2 linked regions of the Rattus norvegicus genome follow. The main gene of each other region encodes a partner of the protein of the gene in region 2 in a complex. Links are inferred from orthologs where the notes say so. Each region holds a gene or a part of one and is shown on either strand. Other genes may lie near its edges.

Region 1 (3,695 bases), on a different chromosome or scaffold from region 2:
CCTGCACACGATGAAGCCTGTCAACTGTCCAGCACAGGGCAGGAAGCAGTTTCCGTAGCTGAAGACCCACTGACAGGTAAAAGAGAGAATCAGTTTTCTTTAAGCATGTGGCCCCAAGCAGCTCAGCCACTATCCAATGGACTGTTGTATGGGAAGCACAAATTGTACTTGGACTCTGTGAGATTACAAAAGGGGGATCAAGCGTGAGGATGTGGAGCTGGGATGAGGGAGGGGAGAAGGCAGAGAAGGCAGGAGTAGGAAGTGAATATAATCAAAATGTATTAGCTGGGATAGCTATGGTCGCACAGGTCTTTAATCTTGGCACTCAGGAGGGAAAGGAAGGTGGATCTCTGAAGAGTTTTGGCCAGCCTGGTCTACATTATATGTTCCAGGCTAAAGTTACATAGTGGCCCCTATCCCAAAACAAACAAAAAACAAAATTCCATCCATACATATAAAATTCTCAGTTAATACAAATCTTGTATTTACTTGAATATATACATATACAAATAACATGACAAAACAGGTTTTGTGTGTTTGTGTGTGTGTGTAGTGTGTCTGTTTGTCTGTGTGTCTATGTACGTAATAAACTAACAAAGAAATAGGGGCCATGAAACTGAGAGAGTAAGGAGGGCTAGAGGAAGGATAGAGAAGGAGAAAATCAATCATATTTTAATTTAAAAAATTACAGAAATCCCCAAAAACATCCTCTTACCAAAAGAAAAAAGGAGGAAGAGGAAGAGAAGGATAAAGAGAAGGAAGAGGAGGAAAAGAAGAGAAAAGAAAAGAAAGATGAGAGAAAAGGAGAGTAATCCACAGAAGACTGTGAGACTCCTTAGCAATGACTCAAGACGCCTCGGCTTCCTAGGACCGCCCTTAGGGACAGGTGACTCCTGTTCCTTTACAGTAAAGTGGTGAATCTGGAGACCCTGGTAGGACAGCTACTAGGTCTAAGAACCTAAGTCAGGAGGACTAAGGTCTATCTTGAAGGGGAAAAAAGAACTAGCAGCTACTGGGAAATGTTTTATCTTCTGAGTTTAAGTAAAGGAAAATACAGGTAGATGTGCAGATACAGCAAAGAATAAGCTACAAGCTCTCTTGTCTATCTGGACTGCTTCTTAGAGAACGATAACCCTGGGGAGACCAGGCAGTGATGACTTATCTTAATTTAAGGCCTCTCATAGCTTGACAGGGCTCTCTAAGCCACATGTAATCTGACTGCAACAATATCCATCTGTCCATGTAGCAGGGTTACATCACTGTCCAGTAGGTTTCACAAAATTACTTGAAGATACCCCACAAGTGAACCTCGGCTTTGGACGGACATGCCTGCAACCTCTAGCTCTAGGATGTAGGACAAAGGTACCCCGTGTTGTGTCGTAAGGTATTCATGCACACTAAGCATACACAGTCAGAATTACAATCATCCTCTCCCACATGGCTGTGACTACCTTCTATTACTTGTTATATAACGCAGGGTTGACCCACTGACCTTGGCATTAGGCACAGCTAAAGAGCTGTCCACTACAGCAGCTCAGCATCGTTTGAAGATCAGAACACATCTCACTTGGCCATCAGTGTCCGTTACTGAACACAGTCAAAGTCACTAAGAGGACTATCAGGATTTTAAGCACAGACAGTCTACCCCATTGATGCCTTCGAGTATTTATTATTCTTCTGCTACATTTAAAAATGAGGCAGAAAGGATAAAACCATACACAAAAATCTAGAAATACACCAAGTTTTCAACTTGAATAAAATTATTCTACTTATTAAGTTTGTGTCTGCTTCAAACCCAAAAGTATAGCCCTTATGTCAAAACTTTTAAACAGCAGTGGATATTATCAAAATAATTCAGAATAAGAGGGAGATGAAGTGAGAAAAAGAAAAGATTTTAAATGCTTCATCCCTAGGAGAACGAGAACTGGTGTTATGGGTACATTTTAAAGGTGCAACCATCAGGCACCAGGCACCTACTGGCTGACTCCAAGGACAGCAGAGCAGGCAGGGATAAACCTGGAGGACAGAGAGCAGAGCCACTGCAGCCTGAGGCTGGGATACAAAGGAAGAAGGGCATAGAAAGCCTGGGAATGACAGAAACGCCACTGCCGGGTGATGGGGGACACTACGTGACTGCATGCATACACCAAATACAGCAAACTTCACTCACAGAGGTCCAGGTCCACTGCACTCCATATAATTATATCCTCCATGAGGCAGGTAGAGTACTTCCCACAAAAGCATGAAGACCTCAGTGCAGATCCTCAGCATCTATTAAAGTCACTGTGGTGACACACGTCTGTAATCCCAGTGCTGGAGAAGACAAGACAGGCAGGTGCCTGGAGCTCAATGGCCAGCTAGTCTACCCAGTTAGTGCTATCCAGGTTTAGTGAGAGACTGCCTCGAAAAACAAGTTAGAGATAATTGAGGAAGACGCCAACATGCAGGCACACAAGTGTTCCTGCACACCCACCCACACACAAATACACACTGTTACTTAAGCAGGGCCTTATTCCAACATAAGCAACACAGAAATGCCTTCCACACACCTGAGGCTGTACCGCAGCACGGTGGAACCCACCATGCAGATGAGAAGATGCTGGTGATCACATCTGGTGGGAACAGTGTCACATTTCTCTGAATCTGAAGCAAGTTCAACACTAAAGCCAGGAACACGCCAATGAAGAAGAGCACCACTCCCCGGATCACCACGTTCACGCTCTGGCTGGTGACAGAGGAAATGTAGGGGCCACGCTTTTTAGGCCGAGGTGACTCCGTCTCTCCTTCCGCCATGGTTTCATAAGTTCAGGAGGCCTAAGCCGAGAAATGAAATGAGGCTCCCAGTGGAAAAGGTGAACTGTGGACTGAAGCAGACCAATGTCTCAATGGTACCACATCCTGTCTGAACGTGGAGCCTACCAGAAATCCTACAAGAGATAAAAAGAAAGAATCAGCATGGGGCTGACACATGAGCACAAGTGATCACGCTTCAGTACTAGTTGAGCAGAAACAGAATGAAACAATGAACTTATACTGATTTATTTAAATTATTTACTCAATTAAGAAAATCCTTTAAAGGAGTCTTTATATGCATGTTGTAAAAAAATAAATGTTGCATGTGTATTCACTAGGGCACAACAAGTGACTCAAGAGACCTCAGCCAGAGCTAGAGAGATGGCTCAGCAGTACAAGGTCAAGCAGAGGACCTAGGTTCCCAGCCCCCACAGGACAGCTCACACAATGCCTGTAGTTCCAGTTCTAGTGGAGTCAATGCCATCTTCTGGGCTCTGTGGACACAAGGCATGCATGTGATACATACTCGGAGACAAAACAATCGCAAACATAAAACACACACAAATAAAACTTTAAAAGGAGAGAGTTGTCAACATTAGGGTCTGAGATAAAAGCTCAGCTAGCAAAGTGCTTACAGCACAAGTACAAGGGCCTAAATCTGATCCAAGCACTTACATAAAGAAGCCAGGTGTGCAGTGGTGGAGAGAGGGAGACAGGAGGATCCCTCAGGCTCACTGGCTGGCCTAGGTCTGTCTCAAAACCACAGTGGAAGAAGACTAAAGCAGGTACCCACTGTCTACCTCTGGCATGCACTTGACAAGGTAGAGGAAGCAGAAGAAAAGCACCAAGAGAATGCAGCACAACCCACTGACCACCTTTGAGGGTCAGTCTGGGAGTTCATG
Region 2 (3,651 bases):
TCAGACACCAGGCCCACCACAGCAAAGAGGCAGAACTCCTGCAGTGAACACACAGGAGGCATGGTGGCTGCACGGTCCCCAGAACTAGCAGGGCAGAGCAATGGCCAAGGAAAACATTCTTCAGCTGTGCTTTCTGGAGACTGGGAGCTGACTAGTAGGGTAAGGAGAGCTGTTCACTGGGGAGCAAGGCAGCGCCTGCATACTTTGCTCCAGAGTGGCCTTAGAGGGTGCTTTTCTAGGCTCTTCAAGTCCCTTGAGAAAGGCATAAGGGAACTGTAAGCCGCCAGCATGCTCCCTAAAGAGCCTTTCTGCACAAGCCCCAACTTGCTCATTGTGCTTTTCTGGTCAGTTAGCACTGAAAGAGGAGGATTCTGCCCTAACATGGGAAAGGGTGGTTTGCATCCTACATCTGGTTAAGGAGCAGGACTTGCTCAAAGTTAAGTTTTCTTCCCCTGCCCTTATTTGAGATCTCTGACACAGCAACATGGATTCTATTGAAAGCCTGCATGAGATGACAGGACACACCACACAGACACACAGACACACACAGACACAGACACACAGACACACAGACACACACACACACACACACACACACACACACACACACACACACACACATGCCCCATATGGCCACCCTGAAGCCTTACTTGGATGGCAGGCACAAGGGTGAAGTAGCCAATGAGGATGATGCCCAGTTCAGTTGCTACGTTCTTCATGATGGACCAGCTCTCACTGCTTAAGCCTGCACAGGGAAAACCGAAGTACTGAGGCAGTGAAGGGCAGGGAAGAGCGACATGTCTACTCCTGACCTTGTAGTCCTCAGAAGGACAGAGGCCTGAAGAGGGGGTCCGGCCTCTGGGCAGCCATTCCACTCAGTGGGCAGACTCTAGGGAGTCAGCACCATGGTGCAGCTGCTACAGAGGAAGGTGGGGTCCAGCAGAAAAAGGGAGAACCAGGGTGATGAGAAGAAAAGCCAAGAAGACAGCCCAGTGCTTTCTTGTTTTAGCTATGACCACATCCACTCCTGACCAGCAGAGCGATGGCAGAGCTAATAGACTCGTCCTCGTGCCGCTCTTAGGGTTAGGCTGCCATAGCTGTCATATGAACAAGACTCTATTTACACAAAAGATTTTGCCTCATCTCTTTATAACCCCACACCCAGGGCAGAGTCTAGAAGCACAGAAGTTCATCAGAGGAAGGTGGAATGAGTGTAGTCAGTTTCTGGTTACTGTCACAGACATAGGCCTAGGATAAAGAACCTAAGACATCTACTTCCTCTTAGCAGGACAGGGTGGTGTGTACCTTTAATCTCAGCACTCAGGAGGTAAGGATGGACGGATCTCTAGGAGTTTGAGGCCAGCCTGGTCTACATAGCAAGTTCCAAGCCAACCCAGGCTAACTCTGAGAGGCTGTTGTTGGGTTGTGTGGGTGCATATGTACACAAGTATGTGTAGAGGTCACACCAGGGACTGTTCTTCAGGAACCTTGTATTTGAGACAGAGTCTCTCACTGGCCCACGGCTCACCGATTAGGTTAGGCCAGCTGAGGGGCCACCTATCTGTCTCTAGTACTGGGATCACAGCTGCGCTGCACTGTGCCTGGCCTTTGCATGGGTCTGGAGACTGAACGCAGGGCCTCATGTCTGTGCAGCAAGCACTCTACTGACCGAGCTATCACCACAGCCCTAACAGACACATTTTGAGGGTTGGGCCTAAATATAAGAGGGACAGCCCATTACCCAGTGTTACCTTGTGCAATTCGAAGCTTCACCTCAAGGTCCACTGGAGTTGATACCACTGACTTGGTGAGCACCAACACATTCTCTAGCCCAATAACCACCACCAGATATGGGAAAATCTCGCTGGGGAACAGAGGAAGAGACAGTAAGAGATGGCAGCACGACCAGGTCTAACATAGGGTTAGTTCTTATAGGCTTGAGCCCTGGGAAAGCTGTGGGGGCTTCCAGCCTATATATAATAGAGGCTGCCAAGTGGCTTCTGTGACCTAGGGAAGGAACCTTCTCTAATGTACCTTTATCCAACAAGGTTCCTTGTCTACACAGCCTTTGGCCCTGAGGCAGACTCCAAAGCTTTGCTAAGGGGTCAGCTAATGTCTCTTGTCTCTTCTACCCAGCAGAGAAGGGAAACTGGGAAAAGCCCACTAGAGAGCATTGCTGGCTGCTACCAGAGCCCAGCCTTCCTGATCCCCCACACTAGCCTCCAATGGCTGACAGAATAAGCATGGAGCCTACATTTGTCACTCCAGGCCAAAATAGTCATCTAAATGGGAGGGATGGCTACAGCCTGAATCCTTCCACCTCTACTGAGAAGCCATGTCTTGAGAGGAGTAACTGTCCCATAAGGCATCTGGCTGCTGGCTGAGCCCTGTCCATGCACACAGAGCTCTGAGAGTGCCTCAGAAAAGGAAGCCAGCAGCCCAGAACACGAACCCAACAGGAGCCATACAAAGTAGCTTTTCTGCACAGCTGCTGACTCCCTTCCTAGGCCTTGGGTCTGATATCTAGCACTAGTTTTTCCTATGACTGCCTGAGAAGTCAAGGTCAGGGACGACCAATGGGCCAGTCCATTAGTAACTCAGGCAGGGCAGCCACAGAGCCCAAAGCCTGAGGACAGACATAGGGAAGGGCTTCTGCACTAAGATTTTCTGAGGAATGAGGGGAAAGGAACATCAGTGAGGAATGGGGGGGAGCGATACCTCCCCATACACTGACAACAGGACTCCACACTTACTCTATCTGGGGATTTAAATCTTTTAAAAAAAAAACTTTCATTATATTCATGTATGTATGTGTGTATGTGTGTATGTGTGTATGTATGTATGTATGTATGATGTATGTATGTATGTATGTATGCATACATGCACACAGGTGTCTCAGGATACATGTGGAGATCAAAAGACGACTTGTGGGAGCTGGTTTTTTTCCTTCCATCAAACAGATTCTAGGGATTGAACTCAAGTCATCAGGCTTGGCAGGAAATGCCTTACCTACTGAGCCACCTTGCCAGTCCTCTTTTAATAGTGAGGAAGACATGTATGCTTCTTTATTGCACACCTCCAGACACAGCCCTTAGAGAGCAGTGTCAGGCTGCGGAGGTAATTCAGTAGTTAAAAGTGCTTACTGCTGGGTTCGGTCCCCAGCTCCGAAAAAAAGAACCATAAAAAAAAAAAAAAAAAAGTGCTTACTGCTCTTACAGAGGACCTAAGCTCAGTTCCCAGCATCTATACCAGGCTCACAACCCCTGTACCTTGAGCTCCGGGGGCTCTCTGCAGGTCTCCACAGGCACCTCTATTTGCCTGCATGTTCCCTATGCCCCACATATTAAAAATAACAAAAATAAATCTAAAAAATGAAAGTGTGCATGTAGATTTAAAAATATAAACAATAACATCTATATATACACATATACCATACATATGCAAATATAAATATTCTAAAAGCACACAATGTATATGTACACATATGTACAAACACATACATGCATATAACTACATGCTCTATATAGAGAAAGACATGGCATATTCATATGCTTAAGGAGGGGAAAATGAACTCTTCAGTGTCAAAAATAATAAGGCAGACATTGCATAACAACAAACATCTAGTCCAGGGGTCGACAGTGCCCAGAGGTG

The links. The genes of interacting proteins can lie anywhere in the genome.
Region 1: the proteins of Scap (region 2) and Insig2 are in contact, whole or in part, in a cryo-EM structure (PDB 7ETW), measured with the Homo sapiens proteins. The link is inferred for Rattus norvegicus from reciprocal best matches to the Homo sapiens genes SCAP and INSIG2. Residues at the interface, in NP_036367.2 of Homo sapiens: Pro200, Ser206, Val282, Ala283, Glu284, Ile286, Pro287, Thr290, Ile294, Ala297, Tyr298, Phe301, Lys305, Tyr351, Val354, Val355, Glu359, Thr409, Leu410, Val411, Ser638, Tyr639; in NP_001308258.1 of Homo sapiens: Phe41, Val45, Leu48, Leu49, Ile51, Val55, Leu57, Phe58, Pro59, Val62, Ser65, Ile66, Glu104, Trp105, Ser106, Met109, Arg110, Val112, Ala113, Val114, Val116, Gly117, His120, Gln132.

What each region holds. Positions count from the first base shown.
Region 1 is NC_086031.1:35,037,281-35,040,975, forward strand, and holds the start of Insig2 (insulin-induced gene 2 protein), read right to left. Parts: upstream 2,819-3,695; 5' UTR 2,794-2,818; coding exon 2,550-2,793; intron 1-2,549. UniProt on the Homo sapiens protein: Oxysterol-binding protein that mediates feedback control of cholesterol synthesis by controlling both endoplasmic reticulum to Golgi transport of SCAP and degradation of HMGCR.
Region 2 is NC_086026.1:119,229,392-119,233,042, reverse strand, and holds part of Scap (sterol regulatory element-binding protein cleavage-activating protein), read right to left. Parts: intron 1,865-3,651; coding exon 1,752-1,864; intron 746-1,751; coding exon 651-745; intron 39-650; coding exon 1-38. UniProt on the Homo sapiens protein: Escort protein required for cholesterol as well as lipid homeostasis.